Linked DNA regions of Tamandua tetradactyla. The protein of the gene in region 1 binds, or shares a complex with, the protein of each later gene. Links are inferred from orthologs where the notes say so. Each region holds a gene or a part of one and is shown on either strand. Other genes may lie near its edges.

Region 1 (3,740 bases):
TCCCCTGCCCACGCGAGAGACTGCTCCCGGCTCCCGCGTGCAGCAAGCTCCCGCCCTCCTTCCCCCACCCCGACGAAAAAAAAAAAAAAACTCCTCCTCCTCCTCTCCGTGCGCCCGCCCCGGGGAGGCCCCAAGCTGGAGGGCGGGGGAGAAGGAAGGGCGGGTAAAGGGCGCGCGTGGCCGCGGAAGCGAGCACGCGCCGCAGTCTCCTCCTCCCTCCTCCCCGCGGCCCGTTCCCCCCGCCTCCGCAACCCGGCGGGGACCCGGACGCAGCTCAGCCGCCGCCGGCCCCGGAGCGCAGCAGCCGCACCGCCCCCGGGGACCGGATCTGGATTCCCGCCGTCCCCGCCCGCCCGGGCGGGCGACCAGCTGGAGAGAAGCGGCCTAGCCTGCCTGCCCCCCGCCCCCGAGCCACCCACCCTTGCCAGAATCGCCGCCACCGCCCAGCCACCCCGACGCGCACGAAGGAGCTCGGCGCAGAGGCGCGACCGCGGCGGGAACCGCCGCCTCCTCCCCCGAGCCTGCGGCCCAGCCCTGCCGGCGCCCCCGCCCCGGCCTCCGGGGAGCCGAGCCAAGGAGAGGGCGGGAGGACGGCGGCCGGGAGGCGGGGGCGCAGCGCTCACCGGCCCCGCCGCCCCCTCCGGCGGCCGGCGAGAACTGCGCCTGCCGGCTCGGAGAAGCGCGGGCTCCTACGTTCGCGGCTGGGGCTCGGCTCGGGCCTCGCTTCCTGCCTTCCCCTCCCCCGGCTCTCGGCGTGTCCTCCCCAGTGCCCTGGTCTGCTCTCGCCCAGTCCCCTGCCCGGAGGTCGCCTCGGGTCCCCACCGGGCGCCCCCCGCATCCGCAGCTCGCTCCCCGCTGCTGGGCCCCGACCCCAGCGCGCGTCTTCCGTCCGCCTCAGTTACCCAGCGCAGCGCGGCCTCCGGGCTTCCCGCTCCCGTGGCTCCCTCCCCGGCTCTGAGCGGCGGCGCCCTCCCCCGCTCGGCCGGGCACAGCCGCAGCTCCCTCCCGCGGCGGCAGCGGCTCCTCCTCCGGGCGCGGCGGCGGCGCTGGGGCGGCGGCTGCTCCTGCTGTGGCGGCGGCGGCGGCAGCTTTGGCTGCTGCCTGCTGCTCCTCGCGGCGAAAAGCACAAAGCACAGCGCCCTCCGCCTGCAGGCAGCCCGCCCGCCGCCCGCCCGCCGGCCCCGGCCTCCGCTCGCACACCCCCCGCCGCCGCCGCAGCCTCCGCCGCCGGAGCGGGGAGGAGGAGGGAGAAGGGAGGAGGAGGAGCGGGAGGGGGGGCGGGAGAAGCGGGGCAGCGAGCGCGTCCTTCCCCGTAGAGCGCACACCGACCCCCGGGGAGCGAGCGCCAGCCCGCCTGCCTCGCCGGCTCCACTCCCTCCCACAGCCTGCCCGGGCGGGCTCCGCGGGGGGCAGCTGGGAGGAGGGGCGGGAGCTAGGGGGACCCGGGCGGCCGAGGCGGAGGGAAGGAAGGAGGGGAGGGGGGTGGCGGCGGCGGCGGCTGCTGCTGCTGCTGCTGCTGCCGCCGGAGGGGGGGGGCCGAGGCAGGGAGACACGCAGCCGCCCGGATGGCGGCGGGGCTCGGAGCCGAGGCGGGCGGGCGCGCTGAGAGCGACCTCCCCAGACCCGCGGGGGAACTAGCAGGCTTGGCCGGCGCGGGAGGGAGGGCGCGGCTGCGACGAGGGTGCCCGGAGGGCTCCCCGGCGGCCGGGGACATTCGGTGGTGCCCGTAGCCCTGTTCCGGAGCTCTCCCACCACTCCTCTCAGTTTAGCTCCGGCCTCCCAGGCCAGCCCTCACCCGCTTCCCTCTCCTGCCTCCTGGAACGGGTGGTCCGCGCCCACCCATATCCTCCGCGTGTGGCCGCGGGCTTGGGGCGCAGACTTGCCGATCGCGGCGCCAGCCCGCCTCGCGGTCCCCGCGCTGGCGAGTAGAGCGATATACACTAAACTTTAACAAAATAAAAATCGCCCCCAGGAACGCTCTCCCGCAAAAAAAAAAAAAAAAAATTCCTCTCTACTCCTTACACCCCGGAAACGGCGAGGGGGCGACCGGCTGTGGCCGAGGAGCCGCTCTGGGAGCCGGTTCAATCCAGCCCGGCATGGCTACCCCAGGCCCGCCCGGGCGCATGGAGATCGGCCGCCGCTGCCATTCGCCGCAACCCCTCTTCTCCCGAAATCCCGCGGCGCTGGGGCGCACTCACCGAACGAGTGGATGGGAACGCGGGCCGGGGGCACCTGGGGGCGCGGCGGGCCGAAGAGCCGAGCCGCAGCCGACACCGGAGCAGCGAGTCGCCAGACAAAGCCCGAGATGGCGAAGCGGAGCGACGGCTAATGGCGAGCCCCACGCGCCGCGCTCCGCCCGCCCCGCTCCGCCCGCCCGCCCGCCTCGGCGCAGCGCAGCGCCGCTCCGAGCGCTCGCCCGTCAGAGCCGCCTCGGCGCCGCCGCCTCCCGGGCCACCCCGGCCTCGCCTGGCCCCTCCGCCTCCTCCGGGCGGCTCAGCCTCACCCCTTCCCTCCCACCGTGCTGGGAACTGCACAAAAATTTTAAAAAAAAGAAAGAAAGAAAGAAACATGCTTTTCTTTTCCATTTTCTCTTGCTTTTTTTTTTTACCCGCAGGGCGGGCGTTTTGAGACTTTTGGGTCTTTTTGCCCCCAGCTCGCACTCACCTGCGGAGCCGCCGGTAGGGCTGGGGGTGGGGGCGCACCGGGCTGGAGCCGGCGAGCGCGGGTTGAAAGCTAGCCAAGCTCTGCAGCGCCCGACCCGGGCGTGTACGCTGCCGCCAGTCCCCGCAGAGAAATCGTCCTCCTACCCCCGCCTCCATCGCTCTGCGTTTCTCTTCCAATCAGCCGGTCGCTTGGCGGCTCCTCCATTCTCCGGCCAAGCCCGCTGCCTAGAGCGAGCTCCACTCCATCTGCTTGCCCGGCTCCTCGCTCCCCTGCCGGGGCCGGTGAGGCGGCGTGAGGCCGGAGGCGGATTTGCCAGGGAACCTGCCTCCTTCCCGCTCCCATTGCTCCCTCCCCGCTGCCTCCTGCCTCCTGCTTCTCTCCTGCGTCTTTCCTACTCTCCCCTGTCGCCACTGGTGTGTGCCTGAGTGTGTGCGCGGTTTTTTTTTTTTTTTTTTTTTTTTTATTGCTCTTTGCTTTTGTAACCCTGAAGCCAAAGCTGGGGGTGGGGTGCGAATCAAGGGGGGATTTTACAAAAAAAAAAAAGAAGAAGAAGAAGAAGGAAAAAGGAATGAAACGAAAGACGCTCTTCTCAGATTTACAACACATCGAAAAAACGGGGGAACACCCCGCCTGGTCCGATCTTCGTGCCCTGCAAGGGCCTTCCGGGGTTTAGAGCGAGTCTCTCCTTGTTTTCAACGTCCCCACCTCCGCCGGGTATAGGATCCGAGGAGTCCGACCAAAAAGTTCCCCCCCCTGGGTCGTAGCCAGGGGTGTCACGGGTGGGAGTTGAGGGGGATTTTTCAGAAAGTACCAGCCGTCCCTTCCACCTCGGCTTTGGAGAGCTGGGTCCGGGTGGGCGTGGAGAGCGAAATCCGGACCGGTTTGCACGCAGGGGATTCCGGGGAGAGGTCGGAGCCGCGAGACGGCGCTTCGCGCCTCAACCCTTCGATCTCTGTCTCCTGTCCCTTGGCCAGCTCCCCCTTTAATTTTTTTTTTTCCTAGTCTTTAATCTAATTTCTTCCAACTCCACCTTTGTTGTTACCGGCGTCACGCCTGGACCAGCCAATCCCCGCCAC
Region 2 (3,740 bases), on another chromosome or scaffold:
ATGACTTCAACCTCTAAAACTAGCACACATCAGCCTTTCCCTTACCCTACCACTACTCACCTTTGTGGTTCACATAGAGTTCATTGGGATCAGAGGAATCTTTAGCAGCATGGGGATTCTGAGTGCACCTGACTTGCAGCCGAAACTGCAGAGTATCTATCTCTGTGCCTTCTTCATCTCCTGCACAAATGTAAGAGGAGGAGGAAAACTTGTGAACATTTGCATGCCAGGTACTATACTCAATGCCTATCTCAATCCTCCTGATGAACTTATAAAACAGGTACAATTTTCATTTCACAGATGAGAACATTAACGTTGCAAAAGGCTAAGTAACTTGCCCAAGATCACACAGTAGTCAACCCAGTATCTAAACTCAGGCAATCTTGATTACAAAATCAACTTCAATAAAGAGTTACTTCCCCTGTTTCCAAAACTTTATTTTCCCAGACCCTCACCTTGGTTCCGATATTCAAAAAGACGGGGATCAGCATGAATGGGAATGAGCCCTAGACGATGGGCAAGGATCTCATCCTGGACAATGGATGTGTTGTTGTACACCAGGACCTTTTCTATAGCCATGGTTGGTACCTGCCCAAGGAAATAGTATCACCCATCTGCAAACACTCAAGAGACTCCCCACCCAATCCCTGCCTCCTCATAGGAAAAGAACTCTTCTGAAAGAATGTCTGATGAGCAGTTTACAAGGAATGGGCAAGAGGAATGCCCAGCAAAACTACAAGAAAAACAAGGAGTGGCTGCAGCTTGAGATGCATATATTCAACAAGGGAGGTGATGGCATGGTTCCCCACACAACCCCCCAAATGCCACCTTCCCATCAATACCTCAGCTAACAGAATGCGTCGAAATGCATTGGCAATGGCTGCGTCAATCCCCACCATGTCAAATTCCAATGAGTTTTCATCCATCTGTACCACATCCACACGGAAATTCTAGAGGGGCAAGAAAAACTGATGCCAGCTATCTGTATGGTCAATTTCTCTCTACATCTCCCCTCTGGATATTTCTCTCAAAGTATGAATACCTTCTCATCCAGGAACCTCCCCTTTGCCCAAATGTCCCTCATTACATGTCCCTTTCTCCCGAATCCTTTCTTTTTTTCTTGGAAATTCTGTTTTTATCTATTCAAAACCTTCGGCAATCTGGTTTCTAGCCAGATCATCTCACAGAAGCCATTCTTTTATGGAACTGGAACTTCCACACTGCTTATTCCAGTCGACACCACTCAAGCTTTACCTTACTGGACTCTGCTGCATTTGCCATTATTGATAAAATTCCTTCTTTTTGAAACTTTGATTCTCTTCCTTCTCTGATGATTTTTACTAAATTCACTATCTTCTACTTTCCCCTATGTTACTATTTCCCAGGTTCTTGTCTCCCATGTACCTCAACCCCACACTCATGGTTTTAATCAACTCTACTTTCTGATCTCATTTCAAATATATATTCTTCTAGCCTGCTAGACATTGCCACATGCAGGAAAATGAATGCATCATCATTCCTTCCCCAGACCCATTTCTTCTTAGAGGACACCCACCATCCAAGCAGTTCTTCAAACTAGGTTATTTTACACTCCCCCTCCCTCACCGCACATATCAAATCAATCCCAAATTTTACCTTCTATCCTCCCTTTCCTCTATTTCCATGGACACAGTTTTAGTCCATGCCTTCATTTTCAACTCTTCCAACAGGTCTGCCTGACCCATATCATCCTGCTCAAATTCTCTCCCAATCATGTGAGTTGCAAATCTGATGTTATCTGTATAAAAATTATTCAAAAGCTATTACCTGCAATGCCTAAGACTTACTCCAGTCCTGCCTATCACTCGTGCCAGCCCACCTTACATCACAGCAATATTGAACTGCTTGGACAATGCCGAGACACCTCAAAATTTAGCTTCTGTTATTAGTACCTCCTCTCTCGTCAATGTTCACAACTTGTACTTATCATTGAAGATTGAATTGAGATGCATCTCCTCCAGGCACTCTTCATACCTCGTCCCCATTCCCAGTCCAGATTAGGTCCTTCTATAGGATACCCAATCCCCATCCCATGTTTATCGCTATCAACCGCCACTGTCACACAATACTGGAATCATTTGTTTTATGCGCGCTCTTCCCCAACTTCTTGTTCACAGAACAGGGCAAAAAAAAAACATGCGCCTGATTCAGCCTTGTACACGCAGCACCTAGCACTGGTGGGATGGAAACACGCTCAGTAAACGTTTTATGAACGTTTTGGCTCTAGCCCCAAGGACAACTTCTGAGGCTTAGCTCACACCGTCCGGCCTTCACACCCTCTCCGGACACCTACAGCCCCAACCACCTCCTAATCAGATCCCTCTCCCTCCCTGTACTTTCCCACTCCTCTCTCACCCTCTCGAAGCTGTCCTGGTCCCAGGCGTCATCGTAACCAGAGTAGTTACCGGGGAAGTCGGTAGTATGAACCTAGAGCAAAGAGAGGCGAGCCTGTCCGAGAAGGGTCTGCGAGGCCAAAGGCATCCCCGACACCAACTCATCCCTATTCTGATCCCCTCTCCCCTCCCGAGCCTAAAGCCACAGGACTTACATTTCGAACTCCGAACTCCCCCAGAACCACGCGGTTTCGCATTTCTTCTACCCTCTGGGACGCCGCCATCTTCAAACCCACCACGTGACTAAGACAGTAAATTGGCGCGTGCGTCCTACTAGCCTTGCCGTCTCCGTGACAACGAGCCACCAACTGGAGGTTTAGATATCGCGAGATTCTGATCCTATTCCGTCCACGTCCCTAGCTTCCGGGAGTCTGATTTGGCCAAACATCCGGGCTTCTCCCTTTTTTGCGTTCCGGCTAGTCCTGTCTCTCGTTGCTTCTTGACATCTCCCTCCCTCGGACCCATATTTCGCCCGCTCCTCCGGGCGCGGGGCTAGCGCGGGCTTCAGCGACGGGAGCCCACAAGACACATGGCAGCTACAGCGGCGCCTGTCAACGGCGCCCGAAACGGGACTGGCCCGGAATGGGGAGGGTTCGAAGAAAACATCCAGGTAATGGACCAAAGCTCTGGATGCCAGCAGCCCTAGCGCCGGCAGCCACCCTGTAGTGCCCTGAGGACTCTCCTTCAGGGCCTGGAAAACCGCTCCTAACCTTTTTATCTCCTGCGCCATTTGCAACACTTTTTCTCTCCAGTGGGTCTTGGGCGAGACAGTCGGAGGGGTTAGTGCTGTCTTGAAAGGTCCAGACAGATACTCCAGCCGGAAGGCTTCGGGTCTCTAACCCACCTCAGGCGTTAGGAAGAGCGTACTAACGCTTTTGAGACAAGTTAGGAAGTGGGCCGGAGTCAGACACTGCGGGGGAGGGGCAGGAATTACTGTCACTGGCCGAAAGCATAGTGTGTGCAGTTTTGTCTTGAGCCTTTGAGGGTTTCATACCGAAAGCAGGAGAAAGGTTTGAATGGAAGACAGCTGGTAGGTTTCCTAGGCTAGAAAAGAGAGCCAAAGCTAGGAACCAGGCATTCTGAGAGCAAATGAAGGGGAAGCAGTGAAGTGGCGTGATCTGTAGTAATTCAAAGCCATAGCCCCAGCAGTGGAAGAACAGAGCCCCAAACTTTGGGATGAGAGAGGAGGACTTAATGGATGAGCAGAAAGGCCATTCATTCTAGGAGCCATTGTCTTCACAGGGTGGGGGCTCAGCTGTGATTGACATGGAGAACATGGATGACACTTCAGGCTCCAGCTTTGAGGAT
Region 3 (3,595 bases), on another chromosome or scaffold:
GCAGCATCACCAGCACCCTCACTCCTGTGCTGTGATAGGGAGGCAGAGTGCATGTCCCCAAGGCCAAGCAAGGAGCTGATGCCTAAGCTGAGAGCTCAGGGGCTCAAGGGGGAAGGAGCTCGGGCCCCAGGGAAGCCAGGAGTGGGGGTGGGTTGGGAGGGGGTTACAGGTTTCAGTGCTGGGGCCTGTATGTGGCTCCCAGAGCTGCCTCTGGTTGCTGTGGGGAGGCCCAGGCAGGAGCTGCTGGGTGGGGGAAACCGCCAGGCCCCACTGCTTGGCTTTGGGTCAGGGAGGGGAAGAGGCCAAGGCAAGTGTCTGGGGCATCACCCTGGAGTTGGGAAGCTGGGGGAGTGGGTGCTGGGCCTCGAGGGCCAGGCAGGTCTCGGCCAGCATCCCCCCTCCACCTGGGGGATGCAGTCCCGCCCCCAAAAAACTCAGACTGACCCAGGGCAGGCCCTGACCCTCCCCCCAGCCGGCTTACTCATCAGCACCCAGAGGCCTCAGGACAAAGCAGCAGAGATGCCCTGAGACTGACTTGGCCTCCCTGCCCCTACCCTACGGCACATCCTGGCCCTGGGGGACACCGGGCACACACTCTGGGCTGAGCTACACAAATCCAGTCCCAGGCCTCAGGACATCCTGCACAGAGACCTTTACTGACATCTTCCAGAGCTCGGAGTCCACCAGGCTGCACTAGGGCCTGGCTCCCGCACCACCCCCAGCTGTCATATGCGGTCACTTCTCCAAGGGAGCATAGTTGAGCAGCTTCTCGATCAGGTCCACGTGGGCCAGCAGCATGCGGCGGCAGCAGTAGCGCTTCAGGCCCAGTGCATCCAGGGCGTCCCTGCGGGTAGGGGCAGGTGGTATGAGCAGGCTGTGGTCATGCGCATTGCACAGTCCACACGCCCCAGCGACCACCCTGGACCACCTCTCCCGCCTACTCCACTCCTCAGCCCCCGGGGCTGCCCCCTCTGCACCCTCCAACCACCAGTCTGCTGCTCCCACACAAGCCCCATTTCTGCCTCTGCTTTGGGCTCGTTCACCCAGGGCTGGGGTGGTTCTCGGGACTTCCAGAGTATCGGGGGGAGCTTAGAGGCACAAGGCTTATGCCTTCTCTGGCTGTGGTGTGGTCTTCATGGCTCATTCTCCGGGACTCTGCTGCCTTGCTAGAGCCCACACACCCCTCTCCCCTTGGGGCTGGCTCCTTAGCAGTTTTCCCTCCATACACAGGAACGCACATCACTGCAGCCAGCAGACCCCAGCAGACCCACATGGTCCCTGGCTGACAAAGGTGCCACACACAGATCACAGATCACACAGCTACCAAGGGGACTTTCCTGAGCTCTGCTCCCCCAAAATCAGGAAAAGAAACACCTCTCGAGAGAGTGACACCTCCTAATCCCTATGCCAATCAGTAGTCAGGACTTCCCTGGGACCTGTGTTCTAGCCATCAAGGTCTCCAAAGAGCCCACACAGCATCGGCTCCAATGCACAGATGGCAGCTTGGGAAAGTGGGAGGCAAGACCAGGAGTCCCCTTGCTCAGAGCATCCCAGGGACACAGCAGCCTGCACAGACCTCTTCAGGCCTGGCTTGAGTGCCCCGCCATCCATTCACTTTCCTCATTCATCCGGCACACTCCCCCCAGCAACTCCCTTGTATGCTGGGCACACATGTGGGCCCGAGGGCTCAAATGGGATCGTGACACACGGCTGGCAAGGGGGCAGACTCTCAGACATGCTCCCAGGAGCTGACTGCAGAGCTAAGGGGCAGGCACAGAAAAGGGGCCAGCCTCCTGCCTGAGGGGTGGGCGCTGCGTGGTCAGGCAGCTTGTCCGCCTCTTAAAAGGATGAGCGGGGCTTGCAGGACTTGGTGGGGCGGAGAGTTGGCCATTCCAGGCGGAGGAGGGGTGGCCGGGTGGTGGTGGGGTGTCAGGGAGAGGCAGTGAGGAGCAGGTGGCAGGGAAGAGGCTGAGGGATTTCCTGGGGATGAGAAGGCCACGGTGACCCGCGGCGAGGATACCTAGAGGCATCTTGCCCAGCTCCACAGCCCCCCCCAAACCAGGAGCTAGTCTGGAGGACCCCGGACGAGGAGGACCCGGGACGAGGAGGGCCCCGGACGAAGAGGACCCGGACGAGGAGGGCCCCGGACGAGAAGGCCCCGGACGAGGAGGACCCGGATCTGCGAGCCCCCACGAGAGACCCCGCCCCCCGCGCCCTCCCGCGGGCCCGAGCCTCACCCTTCGGTGTACTCGGCCTGCAGCAGGCCCAGGTAGGCCTCCCACTTGTTGCCGACGATCTTGCCGCAGGTGAAGCAGCGCACGGGGATGATCATGGCGGCGGCAGGCAGCGGACCGGTCCTGCAGGCTGTCTGACAATCGGCTGCGCTCGACGGCTCAGGAGGCGCTTCCGCCCGCGGCGCGCAGGCCCCGCCTCGGGCGCGCCCACTGGCGCAGGGGGGGACGTCCCCGCGCCCTGCCGCCACCCGCCGCTGCCACCACCCGTCTCCACCCCCGCCACCGACCGCCCTTGCGGCAATTACTCTACGTCTGGCAAGTCTTCTCTGCGCGGGGCGGGGGCTCCCGGGGCCCGCGTGGCCGCGACGGGAATAGCCGGCACCCCCCGCGGCCGCTTTGGTACGTTCAGGTCTACGGCGTCCGAGCTGGGCCGCAAGGGTTGCGGCGGCGCTCGCGTTTCGCGTGTGGCGGGAGTGACAGCCGTGCGGCGGGAGCGGACGGGCGCGCAGGTACCGCCCCCCACCGCCCGGGAGGCGCCCCCGGACTCCGCCGCCCCCCGCCGCCCCGAGCCGAGCCGGGGCCGGTACCACAGCCGGGCACACTGGAGGGCGCGAGTTCGAGTCCCGAGGGCAGCCGAGCCGCAGCCACACGGGGCCGGGGGCAGGGCCGGGCGGTGGTCTTCCCGCCTCCCCTCCGGGCCCGGCCCTCGCCCGCGGCCATCCAGCCCGGGCTCTGAGTTTGGGGCGTCGGGCCCCGACGGCGGAGGTGCCCCCAGCGCCGCAGCGCCCCGCCGCGGCGGCGAGTGCTCCGGTCCCGGGGAAGGGACCCCCGGCCAGGCTATGCTGGGCAGCCCCGACGTGGGCCAGCTGACCCCAGCCCGGCGGGCCGAAGCGTCGTGGCCAGGGGAACGGGCAGCCTGGGGGCTGGAGGGGAAGGGGTGGCCCGGGCAGGCCGAGCCTCTGGCGGCGGAGGCAGGCGGGGCAGTGTGCGGGGGAGGCAGGGAAGGCTGCCTGGAAGAGGGGACGCTGGGCTGGCTGCGACGGGCCGGCGGTGGGGGGTGTGTGTGTAAAAGAAGACCCACGACTTGGAGCTGCCTGACTTGGAGCTGCCTGGGACGGGGTCTGCGTTGGGTCCCTGCCTCCCCCCGGTCTCACCCCAGGTGTCAGCTGGACCCTGACTCAGTTGGATGTGGGAGGGGATGGAAGGGTCTCCTGGGCTTGGGTAGGGCTGGGCCGGCTGTTGTTGCCTGGAATTTGTGCCTCCACCTCCCCAGTGGCCCTCTCCATCCCCCTCTAGGCCACGTGCAGAGCCACGAGCTAAGGCCACTTCCCTTCCCAGCCGCCTCCACCCAGGAGGACTGG

The links.
Region 2: UBTF (region 1) and POLR1C share a complex: the UniProt entries of both Homo sapiens proteins name them as parts of the pol I pre-initiation complex. The link is inferred for Tamandua tetradactyla from reciprocal best matches to the Homo sapiens genes UBTF and POLR1C.
Region 3: UBTF (region 1) and POLR2L share a complex: the UniProt entries of both Homo sapiens proteins name them as parts of the pol I pre-initiation complex. The link is inferred for Tamandua tetradactyla from reciprocal best matches to the Homo sapiens genes UBTF and POLR2L.

The regions. Positions count from the first base shown.
Region 1 is NC_135332.1:23,274,143-23,277,882, reverse strand, and holds the start of UBTF (nucleolar transcription factor 1), read right to left. Parts: upstream 3,023-3,740; 5' UTR 2,665-3,022; intron 2,346-2,664; exon of another isoform or gene 2,199-2,345; intron 1,400-2,198; exon of another isoform or gene 1,330-1,399; intron 970-1,329; exon of another isoform or gene 903-969; intron 531-902; exon of another isoform or gene 420-530; intron 1-419. UniProt on the Homo sapiens protein: Recognizes the ribosomal RNA gene promoter and activates transcription mediated by RNA polymerase I (Pol I) through cooperative interactions with the transcription factor SL1/TIF-IB complex.
Region 2 is NC_135331.1:101,096,860-101,100,599, reverse strand, and holds the start of POLR1C (DNA-directed RNA polymerases I and III subunit RPAC1), read right to left. Parts: upstream 2,962-3,740; 5' UTR 2,657-2,961; coding exon 2,588-2,656; intron 2,467-2,587; coding exon 2,395-2,466; intron 1,778-2,394; exon of another isoform or gene 1,636-1,777; intron 1,265-1,635; exon of another isoform or gene 951-1,264; coding exon 843-950; exon of another isoform or gene 589-842; coding exon 456-588; exon of another isoform or gene 181-455; coding exon 61-180; exon of another isoform or gene 1-60. Other genes in the region: protein YIPF3, read left to right, coding at 2,962-3,042, 3,675-3,740. UniProt on the Homo sapiens protein: DNA-dependent RNA polymerase catalyzes the transcription of DNA into RNA using the four ribonucleoside triphosphates as substrates.
Region 3 is NC_135335.1:671,919-675,513, forward strand, and holds POLR2L (DNA-directed RNA polymerases I, II, and III subunit RPABC5), read right to left. Parts: upstream 2,420-3,595; 5' UTR 2,333-2,419; coding exon 2,238-2,332; intron 845-2,237; coding exon 736-844; 3' UTR 638-735; downstream 1-637. UniProt on the Homo sapiens protein: DNA-dependent RNA polymerase catalyzes the transcription of DNA into RNA using the four ribonucleoside triphosphates as substrates.